Sus scrofa: one gene and its partner. The protein of the gene in region 1 purifies or fractionates together with the protein of each later gene. This does not show direct contact. Links are inferred from orthologs where the notes say so. Each region holds a gene or a part of one and is shown in the gene's direction. Other genes may lie near its edges. The genes, in order: KIF5B and KLC4.

Region 1 (11,572 bases):
CCCTGGCCTCACTCAGTGTGTTAAGTATCCATCATTGCCCCGTGAGCTATGGTACAGGTTGCAGACTTGGCTTTGATCCTTTGTGGCTCTGGCTGTGGCATAGGCCGGCAGCTGCAGCTCCTCTTTGACTCGTAGCCTGGGCACTTCTGTATGCCATATGTATAGCCCTAAAAAGAAACAACAAAAAAACACAAAATTTTTTTTAGTCTTCAATAATTTATTATCTCTGCAATTCTCAGTTTAATTGGAGTTATTTTGGATAAACATTAGTGTGCTATATGGTAATGCCTGTTGTAAAATATAAAAAGAACCGCTCAGTATCACTTGAATTCTGCCACATTTTATTTCATCACTTCTACTGCTATAATGGGAGGGTTATTTTCTAATAAGACATATAGATTTAGAAGATGATAAGGCATGTGGAAATTTCTTTGAAAAACATAACATCAGTAAACTTTTTTAAAAATAAGATCTTTCATTTGAATTTAAAAATTGATCCTGGAGTTCCCACTGTGGTACAGTGGGATCAGCAACATCAGGAACGCCCAGCCTGGCACTGTGGTTTAAGGGTTGTCTGTAGTTGCTGCAGCTGCAGCTTAGGTCAAAACTGCACTTTAGATCCCTGGCCCAGGAACTCCATATGCCATGGGACCTCAAAAGGGGGGGGGGATTTATTCTTTCAGATAAAAATATTTGATTCAGATGTTTGTGCTAAATCTAGAGTTTAGAGACTCGAAGTTGAAAACATTTATATGTTCTTCCACTCTTTAGGGTTATGCAAGATAGACGAGAACAAGCAAGACAAGACTTGAAGGGTTTGGAAGAGACAGTGGTAAGAAAAACTTGGAAGTAAATAGGATTTGAGGATATTTAATGGGCTCTTCCCATTGGTTATACTAAATTTGAAGACTGACTTCCAAAAATACTGCTTTCTTAATTCAAGGCAAAGGAACTTCAGACTTTACACAACCTACGGAAGCTCTTTGTTCAAGACCTGGCCACCAGGGTTAAAAAGGTAATAAAGTAATACTGGGGTGGGTAATTATAAAATACACACCTTACTGTGTCTAATTCTTGTATTTGTAGTGAAATCACCTTATATTATTGTAACAGTTTTGGGATAGTTAAACTTAGGTTTTTTATTTGATCTAATACTATTTTTTCATAGCACTTATTGATCTTTTCTAGAGTGCCGAAATCGATTCTGATGACACTGGAGGTAGTGCTGCTCAAAAGCAAAAAATCTCCTTTCTTGAAAATAATCTTGAGCAACTCACTAAAGTGCACAAACAGGTAATAAAGAGTATATTTTGTGTTCAATACAAACCGAGGAGTGGCAGGTATTTGAATCCAAGGATTTTCATACCATGAGCCATTCCATTATTTTATCACACAATTATATAAATACGCCACTAGCAGTTTCTGGGGGAGTTTTGGTTATTTGTTTGTTGTTTTGGTTTGGTTTTTATGGCCACACCCACAGCATATGGAAGTTCTCAGACCAGGGATCGAATCCAAGGTACAGCTGAGACCTACACCACAGTTGTAGCAATGCCAGATCCTTTAACCCACTGCTTTTGCTAGGCCAGACCTGTACAGCCACAAAGATAGCAGTGGATCCTTAAAAGGCTGTACCATAGCAGAAACTCTGGGGAATTTTTGAATAGCTTTTTTTTTTTTTTTTTCCTTAAGTTTTATTAATTAATTGTCTTTTTAGGGCTGCACCTACAACATGTGGAAGTTCCCAGGCTAGGATGTGAATCAGAGTCATAGCTCCTGGCCTACACCACAGCCATGGCAACTCGCCAGATCCAAGCCAGGTCTGCTACCTACGCTATGGCTTGCTTCAATGCCAGATCCTTAACCCACTGAGCAAGGCCAGGAATTGAACCCAAGTCCTCATGGATACTAGTTGGGTTCGCTACCACTGAGTCACAGCGGAACTCCTGAACACAGCGGAACACAGCTTTTTATTAAGAGGCCAATGAAAACAGATGTTTTAATTTTTATGTAGGGTTTCCAATCTGTCAGTTTTCTTAGTATGATAATTTTTAAATCTGTAGTAGACAAGTCTTTGCAGTTAAATGCTTCTCTTTTTTTGTATTTATACATTTAATGCCCCAGAGTGTGAAATATATAAAATAATGATGCAGTTCTTATTCTTTAAAAAGTAATCCTGGAGTTCCTGTCTTAGCTCAGGGGAAACAAATCTGACCAGGAACCATGAGTTTGTGGGTTCAGTCCCTGGCCTTACTCGGGGGTTCAGGATCTGGCGTTGCCATGAGTTGTGGTATAGGTAGCAGATGTGGCTTGGATCTGGTGTTGCTGTGGCTGTGGTGTAGGCCTGCAGCTGCAGCTCCAATTCAGCCCCTACCCCAGAAACTTTCATATGCCACTGGTGTGGCCTTAAAAAAGGAAGAAAAATATAATGCTTACTGTGGGTTTTTTATCTTTTATAAAAGTTTGATATATGATTTAATTAGCTTTTAAGTTTCTTGGCATGCTTAATTGTATCTTTGTTATTATAAATCTTATGTTTGCACCAGAGTAAGGTTAAAGGAGTTTAAGCCTTCCCTGCTTTCAGCACTTAAGGGACTTGCTAAGTTAATGTTTACTTGTGGATCTTACTCTATCTAAAAGGATAATTACTTCCACAATATGAATATCTTAATGAAGAGACCTTAACCCTATGTTATAACATAATTTCAGTACTTAATAATGGGGAAGAATAGTCTCCTAAACCTTCCAAAATTGAATGAAATTATATTTTAGGGAGAAGCATATGTGTGTGTGTGTGGTATTTATGGATACATGTATTCTTTGCTTGTTGCAGTGTTACTTTTTTTCAAGAGAAATTATGGAATGTTCATATTTTTTCAAATCATCTTTAAAGCTACAATCCTTATTTTTTCTATATACCTTTAGTTGGTACGTGATAATGCAGATCTTCGCTGTGAGCTTCCTAAGTTGGAAAAGCGACTCAGAGCTACAGCTGAGAGGGTGAAAGCTTTGGAGTCTGCACTGAAAGAAGCCAAAGAAAATGCATCTCGTGATCGCAAACGCTATCAGCAGGAAGTAGATCGTATAAAGGAAGCAGTCAGATCAAAGAATATGGCCAGAAGAGGACATTCTGCACAAATTGGTTAGTAAAGCACAATAAATAACCTTGCTTTGGTTTGAATGTTTCTCTTTGCTTGAGAATGTACTCTGATTTATTTGTTATGTGCTGCCACAGTGGTATTTGTGTTTTTTAATTTGCCAAAAAGTAACATTGTTGGGAATGAAGAGCAAACTGAGGAAGTCACCTCAAAAGGACAAGAAGAGAGATCAGAACAGCACAGCCAAGTGAGACTGGTCACAGATAGAAGAAACCATGTAGAGCAAAGTTACTCAAGCAAAGAGAGACTTGGAAGAAAATGTCATCCATAGTATTTCATACTTTAATTGTTAATCATTGATAAAGGAATAAGGATTTTCAGAAACTAAGGATTGGATAGGTCCTAGAGGAAAGGATATAACTGAGAAATAGAAAGGCAAAGAGAAAGGGGGGGCAGTTGTTTGCGAAGAAAGAGAAGAGACCTACAGAGTCATTGCAGTCGCATGTTATTTATTCTAAAGTCAGTTTTTGTTTTTCACACCAGCTAAACCTATTCGTCCTGGGCAACATCCCGCAGCTTCTCCGACTCATCCAAGTGCAATTCGTGGAGGAGGTGCATTTGTTCAGAACAGCCAGCCAGTGGCAGTACGAGGCGGGGGAGGCAAGCAGGTGTAATCTTCACAGGGCACCACAGGTTGGTGGTCTCTGGATTTTTTAATCACACCTGTCCATGGAGAGGTTCATTGGCAGTTAAACACCCTTTCGGATTCTCACTTTAGTATCATGGTTTCTTTTTAATGTGTGGGATTATAAGTAACTTTAGTTTTGTCCTGGTTCATGTCATACTATATGTATATTCAAATTTGTGTTCTTACTGTTTTTAGCCTATTGTTAGATCATTTGTTTAAGTTCTTGGTATTGTCTAATGGATATACTATGATTTATAACTACTGCCTTGTTTTATTTTGTTTCATTTTTGGCTGTGCCTACAGCATGCAGAAGTTCCCAGGCCAGGGATTGACCCACACTGCAATGCTGATAGTGCTAGATCCTTAACCCTCTGAGCCATCAGGTAACTCCCTTGTTCCTTTGTGGTTCTTTGTTTTGAACTATTGCCTTTTACTAGACTTTTAATTATGTTAATTTTCCCATACTTGAAATAGTCCAAAATTGAAATTTCCATATATGGGAGTTCCCTTGTGGTGCAGTGGGTTAAGGATTCAGCGTTGTCATTGCTGTGTTGCAGGTTCAGTCCCTGGTTCAGGAACTTTCTCATGCTGCAGGTGTAGCCAGAAAAAAGTTTCATGTTTTCCATATAGTCATTGCAAAGTCACAGTGAAACATCTTTTTATACATCCTCAACTTTGCGATTATCTCCAGATAATTCCCATAAGTGGGATTAGGAGAAAGTGAAACTTTTTTTTTTTTTTTTTTTGGTCTTTTGAGGGCCAAATCGATAGCATATGAAAGTTCCCAGGCTAGGGGTCAAATTGGAGCTGTAGCTGCTGACCTACACCACAGCCACAGCAATGTGGAATCCAAGCCAAGTCTGCAACCAACGCCACAGCTCACAGCAGTGCTGGATCCTTAACCCACTGAGTGAGGCCAGGGATCAAACCTGCATCTCCATGGATATTGATTGGGTTCGTTACCATTGAGCCATGATGGGAACTCCCGAAAGTGAACATTGTTAAGGCTCTTGACACTAACCCTCTTCAGAAGACTGCACCAAATTGCATCTTAGCCAGTGACACTGTCCTTTTTGTTGTATCTTTGCCAGTATTAAGTATTAATAGTTTTTAAGTTCCTATTTTAATAGGCCAACTATCTCATTAATTTATTAACGAATTTGGATATTTTCATGTTTATTGGCCCATTTATATACTTATATTTTTAATGAATTATTTCTGTGTCCTTTCCCATTTACCTCTGTGAGTGGTTTTTATAATTTATGAGTTCTTACTTGTTTCTTTCTAAATGCAAGTAATATTTTTACCATGTAGGGGGATAAAGAATTACCGCAAAGTAAAGTAGGAGATAAATATTATCCAGAGATACCACCCAGTATGTTGTATATATTTTCCTGGGGCTGTCTTCACATATTATAACTTTTAAATTAGAAAGCTTAAACTGTCAGTTAATATTATATTACCAAGATACTATGCTATTCTATAAATATTCTATAAAATACTACTTCGTAGCCTACTTTTTTAACTTGGCCATGTGACTGATTATAGCTGCCTGCTATTTTACTGTATGGTAGGAACTCAGATTTAATCCTTTGGGAAGCCTCAGGTGTGTAGATGGTTTGGAAACTAAAAATATTAGATAACTTTGAGATAGTTAATTGTTTTTATTTTTGACAGATACTAAAGTCATTTTATTTTAATCTTCTTTGTTTTTTACTTTGACATTTTGCATAACATTGGCTGTCAATTTGAGTAGAAAATTAAGCGATATTCTGGATTTAAAAGAGAATGATATAGTGAAAAAAGTATTGATATTGGAGTCCCGTCTGTTTGAATTTACTCTTATGAACTTGAGCAGGTTACTTTTTCAGTTAATTTCTTTCTTATTTTGACCCTTAAGCATAGGGAGTTCCCTGGCCGCCCAGCAGTTAAGGGTCGTCATTATCACTACTATGACTTGGGTTACTGCTGTGGTGTGGGTTTTGTCCTGGCCCAGGAACTTTCACATGCCAGGGCCGTGACCAAAAAAATAAAATAAAATTCTTAAGCATAAAATCAAATTACAGATTAAGTTTTTTAAAGCTGGTAGAGTTCCCATCATGGCTCAGCAGGAACAAATCTGGGACTAGCATCCATGAGAGTGTGGGTTCAATCCCTGACCTCCCTCAGTGTCTTGAAGATCCGGCAATGCTATGAGCTTTGGTGTAGGTTGCAGGTGCCGCTCAGGTCTGACGTTGCTGTAGCTGTGACATAGGCTGGCAGCTACGGCTCTCTTTGGACCCCTAGCCTGGGAACCTCCCTCTGCCATGGGTGTGACCCTAAAAAGACCAAAAAAAAAAAAAAATCATTTTTTGGGTTCTCGTAAACATTGTTATAAGACTGTATTGTAGGTAATAGGTGCTTTATTATTGTCTCTCATCAGAAGATGTTACAGTAACTTTCCTGCCAATTAGGAGAGTGCTTCTGTTTTTTCCCTCTTTGGATTGGTAACTTGTTGAGCTCCCCTTATTACTAAAATCAAAGTCATTCTTGAGAGTTATACAGTTAAGATGTCATTAACTAGTAAAGAGTGGGTGCCAAGTAGATGCAAGCTGCCTTTTCTGGAAGTGGAGGTGGGCAAAGGCATTTTCAAAGCATAAATATAAATACAGGTAAAAGTTTATCTTTTTTGGATCTTGTCCTCGCGTTACAGTTCACATGTGAACTTTAACCTCTTACCTCATTTGAGAGAGAATGGTCCATCACCTTTGTTAAATACAGCTAGGTTTTAGCTGGAAAGTAGAATGTAATGACAGCAGTTTAGCACATGAGGGAGATAGTTAACCTAGCTAGACCAGGTTGTCGAGACTTGAAGTGACTGAAAGAGTATAATCAGGGAGTTTCTGGTGGCCTAGCGGGTTAAGGGCCCAGTGTTGTCACTTCTGTGGCACAGGTTTGACCCCTGGCCTGGAAATTTTCATGTGCTGCCAGCACAGCCAAAAAAAAAAAAAAAAGGTATAGTCAAGTTCAGGTTTGTTTCATTGCTGTCCATAGGATAGTGGTTGTTATTTTTTTTTAAGGTCTTGCATCAGTCTTAAGCCATGATTGAGAAGTATATCATCTACATAAGTGATACATTATTGAAGAAGTAAATACTTTGTAGAGGTATTTTAAATTACTTTTTAATTATTAAGAAAAACATGGGGAGTTCCCGTCGTGGCGCAGTGGTTAACGAATCTGACTAGGAACCATGAGGTTGCGGGTTTGGTCCCTGCCCTTGCTCAGTGGGTTAACAATCCGGCATTGCCGTGAGCTGTGGTGTAGGTTGCAGATGCGGCTCTGGCGTAGGCCAGCAGCTACAGCTCCGATTCGACTCCTAGCCTGGGAACCTCCATATGCCACAGGAGCGGCCCAAGAAATAGCAAAAAGACAAAAAAAAGAAAGAAAAACAGGGGAGTTCCCGTTGTGGCACAGCAGAAAGAAACCCCACTAGGAACCATGAGACTGTGGTTCGATCCCTGGCCTCACTCAGTGGGTTAAGGATCTGGTGTTGCCATGAGCTGTGTGTAGGTTGCAGACTCGGCTTGGATCCCACATTGCTGTGGCTGTGGTGTAGGCTGGTGGCTACAGCTGCAATTCGACTCCTGGCCTGGGAACCTCCATATGCCATGGAAGCGGCCCCTTTAAAAAGACCAAAAAAAAAAAAGAAAAAGAAAAGCGTTTTAAAGCACTGGGTTTATTCAAGGAAAAGATGGCAATGTATTCATGATACCGATACTGCCTGGTTTGGGGAGGCTGGTTCTGCCAGCTTCCATCATGCTTTGGGCAAGTGAAGGTTTTCTAAACACATAGGTAAATAGGCAGTTGAGTGAGCACAAGGTAACAGCTGCTGGGATTGTTATTTCACTGTCACTTTCCCAACCTCTTGCTTATCCCTACCCGACCCCCTTTTGTTTTTTACAGCTACCTTCTTTGTGGTTTTTTTTCTTTCTCTTAGAGTCGCACCCATGGCATATGGGAGACTCCCAGGCTAGGGGTCAAATTTGAGCTGTAGCTGCCAGCCAAAATCACAGCAACGATAGATCTAGCCACAGCTCGCAGCAGCACAATATCCTTAAGCCACTGATCGAGGCCAGGGATCAAACCCACATTCTCATGGATATTAGTTGGGTTTGTAACTTACTGAGCCACAACGGGAACTCCTACAGCTACCTTGTATATGGCATTGCTGGTTTGGTGTTCCTTAGCTTAACGTTGCTCACACTGTCTACTGGCTGCCATTTTATTGACCATCTTTTTCTTTTTTAAAAAAAAAAAAAACATGTAATTCGGAGTTCCTGTTGTGGCTCAGTGGTAACAAACTTGACTAGTATCCATGAGGATGTGGGTTCGATCCCTGACCTTGCTCATTGTGTTAAGGGCATGTTGTTGCTGTGAGCTGTGGTGTAGGCCTACAGCTGCAGATGCGATTCGGTCCTTAGCCTAGGAACTTCCATATGCCCCAGGTGCAGCCCTAAAAAAGAAAAAAAAACATATAATTCAAACATCTGCTCATTCCTAGTTCTTGGGGAGATAAATACAAGACTGGCCTCCTTTTTATGTTACTCTGTCCCTGAACAGCTCTACTTAAAAGGCAAATGAAAAGAAAATCATTTAATTTTGCCATCTTTTCAGTTTGGGGGAAAATATTCAAAGCTGTTGGCTAAATGTTTTTAAACTATTTGGTATGTTTTATTTCATTTTTTTCATAGTTATCTCAGAGACAAGTTTTGTATAAGTAAAAATATTTTCTCTCTATGCTTTCTTCCATCTTCAGGTGTTGAAAGTAATTGAAGTATGAAGAGAACATAATATCAAGCAGTCATTCAATGACCATAGCCTCTGTCCCTTGGAAACTATAGAATTAGAATTTCTTTTTAGTGTATAAATTGTACCTGGCCTGTACATTTGTTTCCTACCCACTCTTGTAAACTCTGCTGCTTCCCAACACAACTAGAGTGCAATTTTGGCGTCTTAGGAGGGAAAAACGACAGTTTACAACTGTGGCCCTATTTATTACACAGTCTGTCTTTCATGTCTTAAATTTAGTCTTCACTGTGCCAAGCTAACTGTACCATATAGGACTCTGCTTTTTGTACTTGTTCTATTGTGTTTTTATTTTTAAATCTCACTTTAGGTTACCTAGCTGCTACTGCTTCTTATTTCTCTTTTCTTATTAAAATAATATCCTCCTTATTTTAGGGAAAATGGAACACTTAGATTAAATGTCTTAAATTTTACCACTTACAACACTACATGCCCACAAATTATATCAGATCAGTACTGTACTTTAAAATCCCTTGAAATGACTTCGGAGTTAAAATTATCTGTATCATCTCTGAAGTTCGCTTCTGAAAACTACTCCTTGAGCACTGAAACCTTAAAACTGCCTAACTAGACATTTGAAACTAAGCAAGGCAACTTAATTATCTCATGAAATGCCTGTTGCTGAATTATCTTGAATAGAACTACATTACAATATCAAAAGCAAATATTTTGCTTTTGTTTAAGAAAGAGTCTGGAAAAGAAATTTCTCTTCCCAGTGCTGCAGTAGTGCACATAGCTTGATGGAATGAAAACACCCTGCTTCATTCTGGTGAGCCTGCTAATTAATATAAGAATTGGACAGATATGAATTTGTCATCTTAATATAGTGAAATGAACTAAGATATTATAGGAGTAAACAATTTTATATTATTAGTACTGTATTGGTTTATGTAAATTTATAGCCTATGGAAACTGAGGAAAAAATGTGGAAGGACAGGATAAATACCAGATGAATTTATAAATATGTAGGTAAATTTGGTCCGAAATCCCTGAGGTTTTTTTAACTTGCTACATTAAGTCGTACAGTATAACTTATTTCTTCTTTAGTCTAGAAATAATCATTTGCAAGTCACTAATAATCCTCAAATGAATTATTTTGTTGGCAGCAGCTGATAATTTTGTAATTAAGTGTACCTGTTTTTGCCACTTCTTCCTCAGATGATTAAAAGTCAACAGTTTATTTTAGAAGCTACAAAAGTAATAAAGGAAGAGATTTCAATATTTGCTTCATCAGTGGGAGGGGACTAACTGCAACTATGTTATCAGAAATTTGCGGAGCATGGGGATTTAAGGTTACTCAGCAGAGAAAGTTGGAAAGTTTTGCGTTAGGATCTGGGTGGCAAAATTAACTTTTTGAAAAAGTTTTATATACAGATATTTGTATTAAATTTGGAGCCATAGTCAGAAGACTCAGATCATAATTGGCTTATTTTTCTATTTCCTTAACTATTGTAATTTCCACTTTTATAATAATTTTGATTTAAAAGATAAATTTATTTATTTTTTTAACAGTCAAAAATTCTTGATGTTAATGGTCTGCAACCTTTAAAATGATTGTATTGTTTTTAGGATTGATCAAAAGAAGCACTCCAAAAATTGAGACGAAACCTCGTTGTGCAGCAAGATTGAAGTAGTGCAGTTAACAAAAAAAAAAAAGTGCTACTGCCTATTTGTGACAATAGTTTTCTAAATGGATAAATATTTGGCTGTATTCACATAGACGTTTACATTTCATTTTCAAATGAAAGCTTGCTTTTTTGGCAATATTCTTAAGTGAGGCAGAAATTCTTTTCTCTTTGAACATGGTAGTTTCATTCTTGTAAGATCTGTCACGGGTATTGGTGCTGTGTAACAAACAGTTGTAACTAGCATGCGGTTCAGAAACACAATGTTAGGGTTTTTTAAGTATCTCAGTGGTTCTTTCCTATTTAATTTCAGACTTCCACAAAATGTACAGAGAATTTCATGAATTTGTTTTCATTGAACTGCTTTTGCTATGTCATTAAACACAGCATTTGCTCTCATAAATGAAAATTTCTGCTCATCTGAAACATCGACACTTATTTCAATTTGCAGTGTCTTTTTTTTTTTTTGACTGAATATATTAATGTTCCTCTGAATGGTATTGATAAAATGGTTCAGAAGAGAAACTCAATGAAATAGAAGTAATATTTATTCAAGGTGATCAATTAAATTATTTGCCTAATTTAAAAAAAACTACTGTGCATAACTCAGTTTGACAGGAGGTGATAGAAGAGAATCTGAGTCCACCTGTGGAATATGTTGGTTTCTTTTCAGTGCTTGAAGATATGTTCAGAGATGATTGGTTTGGGAAGGCGCCACATAATTTTAAGTTAACCTGCATGCTGTAAATGTGTTTTATGTTTAAATAAAGAGGAAAATTTTTTTGAAATGTAATGACTTTCTTAAAACTTACTCAGTGAAATATCAGGTTGATTTTATATGACCAGGTGGCCTTTCTTGACGGAACAGTAACTCATATGTCATTATATTCATGTATATTTTGTTTCCTAACGTATTGTGTGTGCTTTGGACATCAGGTATTACATACGTAGGCTGAAGGATTAAGAGCTAGAGATGAATCCTCAGTCTCACGTTGTTTTAGTCTACATGGTTCCGTTTATCTGAGCCCAGTGCTTCCTCAGTGGTCATTCAGGTCTAGCTGTAGAAAACCAAAGACAGACTCTTTCTCAGTTCTGGTGCTGATTGGTTTTTAGTGTGTGTAGGAGTCAGCAGAGTAGTTAAGGACAATCCCAGCACCTGTCCCTCAGTTTCCACACTTACCCACTTGTGGTGTTGTTTCCCCACAGCCTCACGTGCACGCCCTCCCTCCTGCTATTTTGAAGCCCTTTCAGACAGCATCTGCTTTTACTCATAGATCTTCGGTGTATGTTTTAAATATACCTTAAATAACATTGTC
Region 2 (10,250 bases), on another chromosome or scaffold:
CAGTGATTGTGGTTTGGAGGGGGTCCTGAAGAGGCTACTGGTGCTATTGTGGCCCAGACACGCTGCTGCTTCCCTTCCAGGAGGAGAAGGAAGGCGATGCCTCCAAGGATTCCCTGGATGACCTCTTCCGAAATGAAGAGGAAGAGGACCCCAGCAATGGCTGTGAGTTGGCCTCCGGAGTTGGAGGGTGAAGAGGGGGCAGCGGGAGGCTGGGCCCCCGCTGTGGTCCACCCTGAACACAGGATGCTCATCACCCAGGAATAGGTTCTCCCCTTCCTCTGGAGGTGGGCCAGGGACCAGGACTTTGATTTCCTCAGCCCCCCTTCCCTTATTCATCAACATTTATTAAGCACTTAGCCGGTGTCAGGCCCTGTGCTAGGTCCTAAGGAGACCAGGTCTCACCAGTGAGGGGTTCACAGTTGAGTGGGAGAATGAGCCTGAGGTGGAAGAGCATGAGTGCCTCAAGGGGAAGGACCAGGTCTTTCTTATTTTTGTATCCCTGCCACAGCCCCTGCCTCTTGCACATTGAGTAAACATTTGTTGAATGAAGGAATGACCGGGTGAACAAACGGGACTCTGAGGGGCACAGGGGCAACAGAGGGGGCAGGAGATTAGCTGTTGAGCCTGGAGGTGAGAGATGGGCACAGGTACTGAAGGAGATGTGGCAGAGCTCCCGGTGTGGCTCAGCAGAAATGAACCTGACTAGTATCCATGAGGATGCAGGTTCGATCCCTGGCCTCGCTCAGTGGGTTAAAGGATCTGGCATTGCCATGAGCTGTGGTGTAGGTCACAGATGCAGCTGGAATCCTGCGTTGCTGAGGCTGTAGCATAGGCTGGCAGCTGCAGCTCTAATTCCGCCCATGGCCTAGGACCCTCCATATGCTGCAGGTGTGGCCTGAAAAAAAAGCTATGGAGTTGGGGTGGAAAGGGCAGGCAGCAGAGGGAGAGGCAGCATCATCTGAGGAAGTCTTCTGCCATGGTGTAGTGGCCCGTGGCCAGGGCGCCCAGCATAACGGCTATGAGATCCCAGCGAGGCTGCGGACACTGCACAATCTGGTGATACAGTATGCCGCCCAGGGCCGCTATGAGGTAGCCGTGCCACTCTGCAAGCAGGCACTGGAGGACCTGGAACGCACGTCCGGCCGAGGCCACCCCGACGTGGCCACCATGCTCAACATCCTGGCTTTGGTGTATCGGTGAGTACGGCCTGCCTCCTGGCATGAACCTGCCTCCGTGTTCCCGCCTCTATCCGCCTTTGGCTCCCGCTCCTCCCTTCCGCAGGGTACCGCTTCCCCCTCGCAGGTGTACCCTGCCAGCGGGCTTTCTCCAGTACCAGAACTCATTCATATCTGAGCACTTGACCTTAGAGCAGACTCATCCCTCAGGCCTTTTGCTTCTCCAGTCTCTTCTCTGGGGAGGGTTTTCTGTTTCTGACTCTTGCAGCCTGTGACTGTGCCCTCCTCTCGGTGTGTCCTGGGTGTGTCAGTGAACCCGTCTCACTGTTCTTTCCAGGCTTCCTGTTTCCTCGTGGGGGGTCCCAATCCCTAAAGATACCCCAAATGTAGGGAGATGGCTTGGGGACAGAGTGGGATGTAACCCCTTGTCACTTTTGTCCTCTCACAGGGACCAGAATAAGTATAAGGAAGCTGCCCATCTGCTGAATGATGCCCTCAGCATTCGAGAGAGCACCCTGGGTCGGGACCACCCTGCTGTCAGTATTCCTTCCTCTCCTTCCCCTGTGTTCTCTTTTTTTTTTTGTCTTTTTACGGCTGCAACCATGGCGTATGGTGGTTCCCAGGCTAGGGGTCCAATCAGAGCTGTAGCCACCTGCCTATACCAGAGCCACAGCAATGCCAGATCCGAGCTGCATCTGTGAACTTCACCACAGCTCATGGCAACACCAGATCCTTAACCCACCGAGGAAGGTCAGGGATCGAACCCAAAACCCCATGGTTCCTAGTCAGATGCATTTCCACTGTACCCGGACGGGAACTCCGTGTCTTTTTTTTTAGGGCTGCACTACAGGATATGGAAGTTCCCAGGCTAGGGGGTCGAACTGGAGCTATAGCTGCCAGCCTACATCACAGTAACAGCAACAGTGGATCCGAGCTGAATCTGCTACCTACACCACAGCTTATGGCAACGCCAGATCCTTAACCCACTGAGAGAGGCCAGGGATCATGGTTCCTAGTTGGATTTGTTTCCACTGCACCACGACAGGAACTCCCCCTATGTTTTCTTAGTTTGTCCATCCATTGCCCTCAGCCCTGGGTTTTCTGAGGAAGGAGGCATGAAGACCCCTTTCTCCCAACACTGTCTGCTGATGCTAGTGGTTTTCAACTCTCTGAGACCCAGTGATTGCTTCTAATGATGTATATTTTCCTAATGCTTAACTCATAGAGAATGTAACTTACTTACACCTACACTTTCCCAAAAAAGTTGAATGATACTTTATTATTAGAAAAGAGAAATAAGAAAAGTAACTTATGGAGTTCCCATCGTGACTCAGTGGGATAAGGATCCAGCATTGTCACTGATGTGGCTTGGGTTGCTGCTGTGGCACGGATTCACTCCCTGGCCCATGAACTTCTGTGTGCCATGGGTGCGACTGAAAACAAACAAACAAACAACAACTCCTGTCTTGATGTCCTATCAAATGTCAAAGCTTATATTCAGTGCTTAGATGTCTGGCAGGACATTCCAAAGTTGCTCGAGGGGGCCCACACAGGCAGAACATTCGTAGCATCCTCGTCTCCCCGAAGGTAACAGGGTCCTTAGTCTTCCTGGCAAACAAGAAACAAAAACCCTGCCTCCAGAAGTACCTAAGTATCTTCCCAGAAGGCGATACCACCCTCATGGAGAACCTCAGAGCCTAGGGGTTCAGCCCTTGCCCCTCCCCGGCCTCTGGCGGAGTCCACTTGTCTTGGAGTTGTGCAGCGTGGGGCCCTGCCGTTCAAGGTCTTTTGCAGCACCAGCATCTGATGGGGACGGGCTTGTCTTGCTAGGTGGCCGCCACACTCAACAATCTGGCTGTGCTCTATGGTAAGAGAGGCAAATACAAGGAGGCAGAGCCACTGTGCCAGCGGGCCCTGGAGATTCGAGAAAAGGTACCCGTGCCCTCTGCCCATTCTTCCCTGTTGCGGAGAGCCCTCTTGTATCATCTCTCTTCCAGTCTACCCTCTTGCCTCACTTCCTTTGGCCTCATCCCTGTGTCTGCCTTGTTCTCTGTTTCATCATTCCCTTCCCCCTGCTCCCTGCCTGGGCATGCGCACACACGCCCGCACCCGCACACACACCCACACGCACAGTCATAGTCATCTGTCCCTCCTTTGCACCCCTTCAGGTCCTGGGCACTGACCACCCAGATGTGGCAAAGCAACTGAACAACCTGGCCCTGTTGTGCCAAAACCAGGGCAAGTATGAGGCCGTGGAACGCTATTACCGGCGGGCACTGGCCATCTATGAGGGGCAGCTGGGGCCTGACAACCCTAACGTAGCCCGGACCAAGAACAACCTGGTAAGGGAGGGAGGGGCAGAGGCCATGGGCAGAGGGGAGGGGAAAGCGTCTAAGTCCCTGTGCTCACCTCCTCGTCTTTGTGCCCAGCTCTGGGGCTGCCTTTGGGGCTGAGAGGTCTGCTTCCTTCCTGTGGGAAGGCAGAAATTCCATAGCCTCTTGGAATTGGCGTGGGAACACTGTGGACCCTGCAGCTAGAAAAGGAGATATGAGGAGCATCTCTGGGGAAAGTCATCAAGAAGGGGCAGTCGCAGGAGTTCCTGTTGTGGCTCAGCAGCTTAAAAATCCTGCTGATATCCTTGAGGAATGGTTTGATCCCTGGCCTCACTCAGTGGGTTAAGGATCCTGTGTTGCTGTGAACTGTGGTGTAGGTCGAAGACGTAGCTCAGGCTCGGATGTGGCATTGCCATGGCTCTGGTGTAGACCAGCAGCTGTAGCTCTGATTGGACCCCTGCCTGGGAACCTCCATATGCCGTGGGTGCAGCCCTAAAAGAAAAAGAAAAAAAAAAAAAGAAGAAGACGGGGAAATCCCAGACTTTATCTCCACCTCTTGCTCCTGTGTTTTTGCCTTCCTGCCCCCAGGCTTCCTGTTACCTGAAACAGGGCAAATATGCTGAGGCTGAGACGCTCTATAAAGAGATCCTGACCCGTGCCCACTTGCAGGAGTTTGGCTCTGTGGATGGTGCGTGGTGAGGACCTGGGCAGGGAGCTGCAGGGAGGAAAGGAAATGCAGACCAGGGCTTGGGAGGTGGGCCACAGTGGTTCCCAGGGGGAGCTGGGCCCCTTTAGTCCAGGCCTGTTGGCCTCTGGGTCCTGGCTCCCCCCATACTATCCAGTTCTGTCCTCTAACCTTGCCACTCCATCCCGTGTGTCACCCCCAGACAACCACAAGCCCATCTGGATGCATGCAGAGGAGCGGGAGGCAATGAGCAAAGTGAGTTGGGGGGGCCCAACCTGGGGAGCCAGAGGCTACCAGGCCTCTGTCTTGCTCCTGCACCAGCCTGCCAGCTCCTCACTTCCCACCCGAGGGCCAGCCCCAGACCCACGGTGCCTTCCCCAGCCCAGCCTGCACCAAGCCCAGCACCAGCTTGCACCCCAGCATCTCCATCCTCTCATCTCTGGCTTCCCCTCCCCCTCTGTCCTCCTGCAGAGCCCACACCGGGAGGGCGGCACACCCTACGCTGAGTATGGAGGCTGGTACAAGGCCTGCAAAGTGAGCAGGTAAGCTGCCGGTGAGAAGCAGGCTTGGCCTCTGATGCTGCCACCCATGCTGGCATCTCAGCCTCCTGGACCATCCCCTTCTTCTGTTTGACCTTCCCTGGGCCTCAGCTCCGCTCCCTCTCTCTCCTGCTTGTGTTCTGAACCCATCCTCTCTCCCTTCCCTGGTCTCATCTGCCACAGCCCCACCGTGAACACGACTCTGAGGAACCTCGGAGCTCTGTACAGGTGCCAAGGAAAGCTGGAAGCAGCTGAGACCCTGGAGGAGTGTGCCCTGCGCTCCTGGAAGCAGGTCAGAGACCTGGAGGGAAAGGAGGTCTGGAAGGGAGGGCCTGGGGACAGGACAGGATGGGGGACCACTGAGGCTGCTTGTCAGTCTCCAAGGAGTAAGGGGGGGCAGCTGAGGAGGAAGGTTGGAGAGGAAGCTGAGACCCGCTTGTGGTCGTGGTTGTTTTGAAGCGTACTCTTACTTCCCACCTGCCCTTTGTGGTCAGGACTCGAAGTTCAAGGTTCACTTCACTAACTGGAACTATCAGCAGAGAAACCCTGTCCTTTCACAGCGTGAAGCATCTTCTGGGGAGCAGCGTGGGGTGGTATGGGTGGGAGGGCTGCGACTGTGGGGAGCCCCGAAGCAGAGTTTCTTCAGTTGTGGGTCTTGACTCACTAGTGGGTCTAAAATCAGTCCCGCGAGAGCCATGGCTAAGCCTAGGTGTGTATCTAGATGTGGAATGCACTGCAAATAGAAAAGGTGAGTGTCTCCTTCCCAGTATGTGTGTACTGGGAGGTCACAGGAAAAACCTTATCTTTGACCCTAGTGGTGAGAAAAAGTTTGAAAACCCCATCCTGAGGAGCTCAGAAATGAGACGTCCCAGCTTCTTCCTTTTCTTTCCAGGGCACTGACCCGATCAGCCAGACCAAGGTGGCTGAGCTGCTTGGGGAGGGTGACAGTGGAAGGACCTCCCAGGAGGGCTTTGGGGGCAGCGTGAAATTCGAGGGAGGTGAAGATGCCTCAGTGGCTGTGGAGTGGTCAGGGGTAAGTTGGATGGGGACCCCTTGATCTCTTCTGCCCCTCCTGCTGGTGGTGGTGACAGGCACTGAGCCTGTAGGATGTGTGCATGAGGGCCTGTTGTCCCCATCCCAGCTCCGGTGGCCCATCCCTCTCCGGGGTCTCTCTGCAAGCCAGCTGTTGACCGGGCTCTTGTTTTCAGTCGCTGGGCTTTTGGGGGCAGGGGGAGGTGGCAGCGTAAATGGCAGGAGTACACTCAGAAGCCAGGCTGCCTGGGGTCCCCTTAGCTTCTGTCCCCTACCCCTCTCTGCCAGGATGGCAGCGGGGCCCTGCAGAGGAGCGGCTCTCTGGGCAAGATCCGAGATGTTCTCCGTAGAAGCAGTGAGCTCCTGGTGAGGAAGCTCCAGGGGACCGAGCCCCGGCCCTCCAGGTAGGCAGTGAGCCTGAGATACGGCAGAGCAGGCGGCTGAGCCCTGGCCTCCAACTCTAACTCCTCCTGGCCTCTCATCTCTGGAGAAGAAGCGTCTTGGAGAGAAACATGGAGGAGGTCAATGGGACAGTTGTGGAGAGAGTGTGGGGAGAATGGGTGCCTCAGTTGGGGGAAAACAATACCTGAGCAGATGCTGATTACTGATGAAGTTGGGTTTTGTGTGAGTGTGTGTGTGTGTGTGTGTGTGTGTGTGTGTGTGTGTGTGTGTGTTGGGAGGATGGATGGTGGGAAGGCAGTGATCTGACTTCCTGTGGTGGTGCCCAAGAAGCCACGGCTTAAGGGTTACCCATGGGAAAGAGAAGAAGCTTCAGTTCTTTCTTTTCCATTGTAGCAGCAACATGAAGCGGGCAGCCTCCTTGAACTATCTGAACCAACCCAATGCAACGCCCCTCCAGGTGAGAGCAGTGCTTGTGGGCACAGTGGTAGGTGAGAAAGAAAGGACAAGCCAGGGAGTCCCCATCAGCAGAAATGAATCTGACTAGCATCCACGAGGACGCAGGCTTGATCCCTGGCCTCCCTCCGTGGGCTAAGGATCCGGTGTTGCCGTGAGCTGTGGTGTAGCTCTCAGATGCAGCTCGGATCTGGCCTTGCTGTGGCTGTGGTGTAGGCCATCAGCTACAGCTCTAATTCAACCCCTAGCCTGGAAATTTCCATAGGCCAAGGGTGCAGCCCCCCACAAAAAAGGACAAGCCAGGAAAAGGGGAGAGTTACTGGGATGAAGACTCTGCCAGGGACTTGGAGTTGGGCAGACAGCTTGTTGGGGGTGGTGATCACCAAGGGACAGTTTGGGGCCAGAGATAGTAGCACATAAATTAATCAGGAGGAAAGCAGGAATTGATGTTCTCTAAATGGGTACTTTGGAATTATGAATTATTCAAGAATGATTTGGGGATACTAATTGCTCTCTCCTTACAGCCACCACATTCCTCACCTTGGGGAGTCTGTAGGAGCTGAGAAGAGAAAAAGAAAAAAAAAGTATTAACTCATCTCCTTTTGAGAAAACAGCAATGACATTTTAATGGGAAAGGACCACTTGTAGCAACACATTCAAAGCATATGCCAGGAGTTCCTGTTCCCGCTGTGGTGCAACAGAAACGAACCCTGGTATCCATGAGGATGTGGGTTTGATCCCTGGCCTCGCTCAGTGGGTTAAGGATCCGGTATTGCCGTGAGCTGTGGTATAGTTCGCTGATGGGGCTCGGATCCTGCGTTGCTGTGGCTGTGGCTGTGGTGTAGGCCAGCAGCTGCAGCTCTGATTGGACCCCTAGCCTAGGAACCTATATATGCCGAAGGTACAGCCCTAAAAAGGGCAAAAAAAAAAAAAAAAAAAAAAAAATTTGAAGTATATGCTGATATTCACATGGTTCTTCCAGGTATTTTCTCCACCAGATGGTGGCCTTCTGGGAAGTCCTAACAAGGGGTCAACAAAGCCCCAGAGCTTGGGGTTGAGGTTAGAGGTTCCATCCTAGGTCCAGAGAGAAGCTGCAGCCATGAGATGGAGAGACTCCAGGGGCCAGTCTTTGGCAGGCTGAGATCCCTGAGCTGATGGCATGGGGTTGTCTGTTTCAGGTCTCCCGAGGCCTCAGTGCCAGCAGTACGAATCTCTCTTCAAGCAGCTGACATTCAAGCTCCCCTGCCTTCCCTGGGACCGGTGGGTCCCCAGCAGCCCTCACAGCATTCCCTGTGGCTCCTGGCTCTTCCAACCCTACAGTGGGACAGTGAAGGGGGAGCAGTTAACCAGAAGATGCCCTCAGGGTCTCAGCTCCCTCCTCAGGAATCCCCCTCAGGAACCAACCTCAGGACACCCTCTCCCCACCCTGTGGTCCTCTAGAGTGGCTCCATCTACTACTAGGGCCCCCAAAGTGGGTAAAGAGCAGGTGTGCACCTCAGAGATGCAGCCTGTGGCTGGCTTTTCTGACAGAAGGTTTGGGACTGGCCAGCTGACCTGTCTTGCCCTGGCCTCTCTTTTTCCCTCCAATGCTTCACTTCAGGTCCGTGTATTTCACTTTTCTTAAATAAAGGAATCAGGTAACCAACCATTCAGCCACTGGAGTCCTCACTGAAGAGGGTAGGAAGCAAGGGTTGTGTTGGGGCCCTTCACAGAAGGGTGAGGGCAGTGATGGATGGGGCAGCAGGAGGAATGTTCGCCTCTTGGCTCCCTCCTCTCTTCCTTCCCCGTTTGTATCCTCTCCAGCAGGGCCTGCGGGAAGGCGTCTGGGGGGTGGGGGGAGGCCCACATCCCAAGGAGAAGGTGCTGTGGACCCGGTTGTCAGGGACATGTGGTGGCCATGTGGCAGGACCCTGGAGTCCTGGCGCCACTGCTCCTGGCCTGTGAGGCCCTCTGTGGCTGCCCCTCCTCCTCCCAGCTGCTTGGGGGAAGGGAGGTCTAAGCAGGCCTGGGGGGCCCTCCGGAGCCAGAGGGGGACGAGGCACTTACTATCCATCCTCTCTCAGCAGAGCCTGGAGGCCCAGCAGCAGCTGGGGCCCATCTTCTAAAGCTTGACTCCTCCTGACCCGCCTCCTACACCCCTTGCTGCTTTCACAACAAAGGAAGAATGTGGGGGTGGTGGCGCTGGGGGTGGGGGTGCCTGGAACAAGGGCTGTTCTGGGCCTCCCCACAGCTGGAGACTTGGCCATGCCCTGACACAGCCCAGCCTGCCTGGAGATGGACTTGGGATGAATTTGTCAGTTTAAAAGCCTTCAGTCAGCCATTCAAAGAACACCTAGTCTCTCTCTACCTTTGGGTTCAGATTGGTCCAGAGCCAAACCAGACCCCTCATTTCTCCAGGCTACACTTCTCCTGGGGCCCCACCAGTATCTCCAAGTTACCTTGCTGGGGGAACCCTTCTGTTCTAGGTCTCCCTCCTGATTTGTGAGCCCAAGCCCACCCTTCCCCTCCTAGCCGGAGAATTTGGGGGAACTGTTGGTCAGGGAAGCCCAGAATCGACGATCTTCCCTAGGAGGGACGGAATCACAAAAGTCACTTTAGGTCCCTTGAGTCCCTGCAGACTAGGTGTTAGGCACTGCCTCCACCCCCCTACCTGGCTCAGGTCCTCCACACCCCCGGGCCTCCTTCCCCGGGTTCCCCATCCCTCTCCAGACCCCTCCCCCAACTGCGAGCTCCTCCCCGCCGCGGCGGGGAGGGGGCGTCGCGGGGCGGGGCTTGGCGGCAGCTGCGGCGGCGGCGGCGGCGGCGGCGCGCGAGGACTCGGAGGTACCGGGCGCGCGCGGCTCCGGCTCGGGACGCCTCGGGTTCGGGCTCCGGCTGCGGCAGCTGCAGCGGCGCCCGAGCTCCTGTGCGCTCGGCCTCCTGGGCCCGCCGGGGAGCGCCGACCGCTAGCCCGCCGTGCGCCCGCCCTCTCCCTCCCCCGGGCCCGCCGCGATGGGAGCCGCGCGCGGAGCCCTGAGCAGCCCCCGCCGGCTGCCTCTGCTCAGCGTTCTGCTGCTGCCGCTGCTGGGCGGTGAGTCCCGGCGAGCTGAGGGAGCGCGGGAGCCCCGCGCGCCAGAGGGGGCAACCGGGAGGTGGGCTTGGGCGGCTGGAGCGGGGGAGACAGCAGGGCGTGGGGCAGGGGCTTGCTGGTGGGGCGAGATCCCGGCGGCCGGGAGGCGGCGAAGCCCTCGCACGCTCGGCCGGGGCCCCTCTTGCCTCGCGCCCACGAGGACGCGTTTCCAGCCTCCCCGGAGTTTTCCCGGCCTGAGCCGAGAGTTTTGCTCGGTAACTGCGGGGAGTTGCCGGTTCCCCGGCCCCGGTAGGAGTTTCCTTGCGGGAGAGAGCGACTACCCCCCTCTTAGGGGGTGCAGCGCGGTAGCTGGCGGTGGGGGAGACGGAATCCCCGCGGCAGGCTCAGCCTAGGTGAGGGAGGCCGGCCTGGGGCCGGATGCCGGACCGACCTTCGGCGCGCGGGGCGCGGAGCTTTGTTACCTACGCCCGCCCGATGCTCCCTGCTTCCCTCCTCCAAGTTCTTGGGCCAGGCTGGGACCCCGACGGTTCTGCTGGTGAGGGCGGGAGAAGGGAAGAGTTA

What was found.
Region 2: the proteins of KIF5B (region 1) and KLC4 purify together in Homo sapiens (affinity purification with mass spectrometry; 4 studies listed by BioGRID and IntAct, with this or other methods). This does not show direct contact. The link is inferred for Sus scrofa from reciprocal best matches to the Homo sapiens genes KIF5B and KLC4.

Annotation. Positions count from the first base shown.
Region 1 is NC_010452.4:42,636,582-42,648,153, reverse strand, and holds the end of KIF5B (kinesin-1 heavy chain), read left to right. Parts: intron 1-771; coding exon 772-832; intron 833-943; coding exon 944-1,015; intron 1,016-1,188; coding exon 1,189-1,293; intron 1,294-2,925; coding exon 2,926-3,142; intron 3,143-3,641; coding exon 3,642-3,772; 3' UTR 3,773-3,791; intron 3,792-8,581; 3' UTR 8,582-11,049; downstream 11,050-11,572. UniProt on the Homo sapiens protein: Microtubule-dependent motor required for normal distribution of mitochondria and lysosomes. Can induce formation of neurite-like membrane protrusions in non-neuronal cells in a ZFYVE27-dependent manner.
Region 2 is NC_010449.5:38,126,267-38,136,516, forward strand, and holds the end of KLC4 (kinesin light chain 4), read left to right. Parts: intron 1-80; coding exon 81-162; intron 163-985; coding exon 986-1,196; intron 1,197-1,623; coding exon 1,624-1,711; intron 1,712-3,005; coding exon 3,006-3,107; intron 3,108-3,343; coding exon 3,344-3,517; intron 3,518-4,096; coding exon 4,097-4,196; intron 4,197-4,395; coding exon 4,396-4,448; exon of another isoform or gene 4,449-4,664; coding exon 4,665-4,735; intron 4,736-4,915; coding exon 4,916-5,024; exon of another isoform or gene 5,025-5,624; coding exon 5,625-5,765; intron 5,766-6,052; coding exon 6,053-6,168; intron 6,169-6,559; coding exon 6,560-6,623; intron 6,624-7,797; coding exon 7,798-7,848; 3' UTR 7,849-8,264; downstream 8,265-10,250. Other genes in the region: PTK7 (inactive tyrosine-protein kinase 7), read left to right, coding at 9,611-9,689.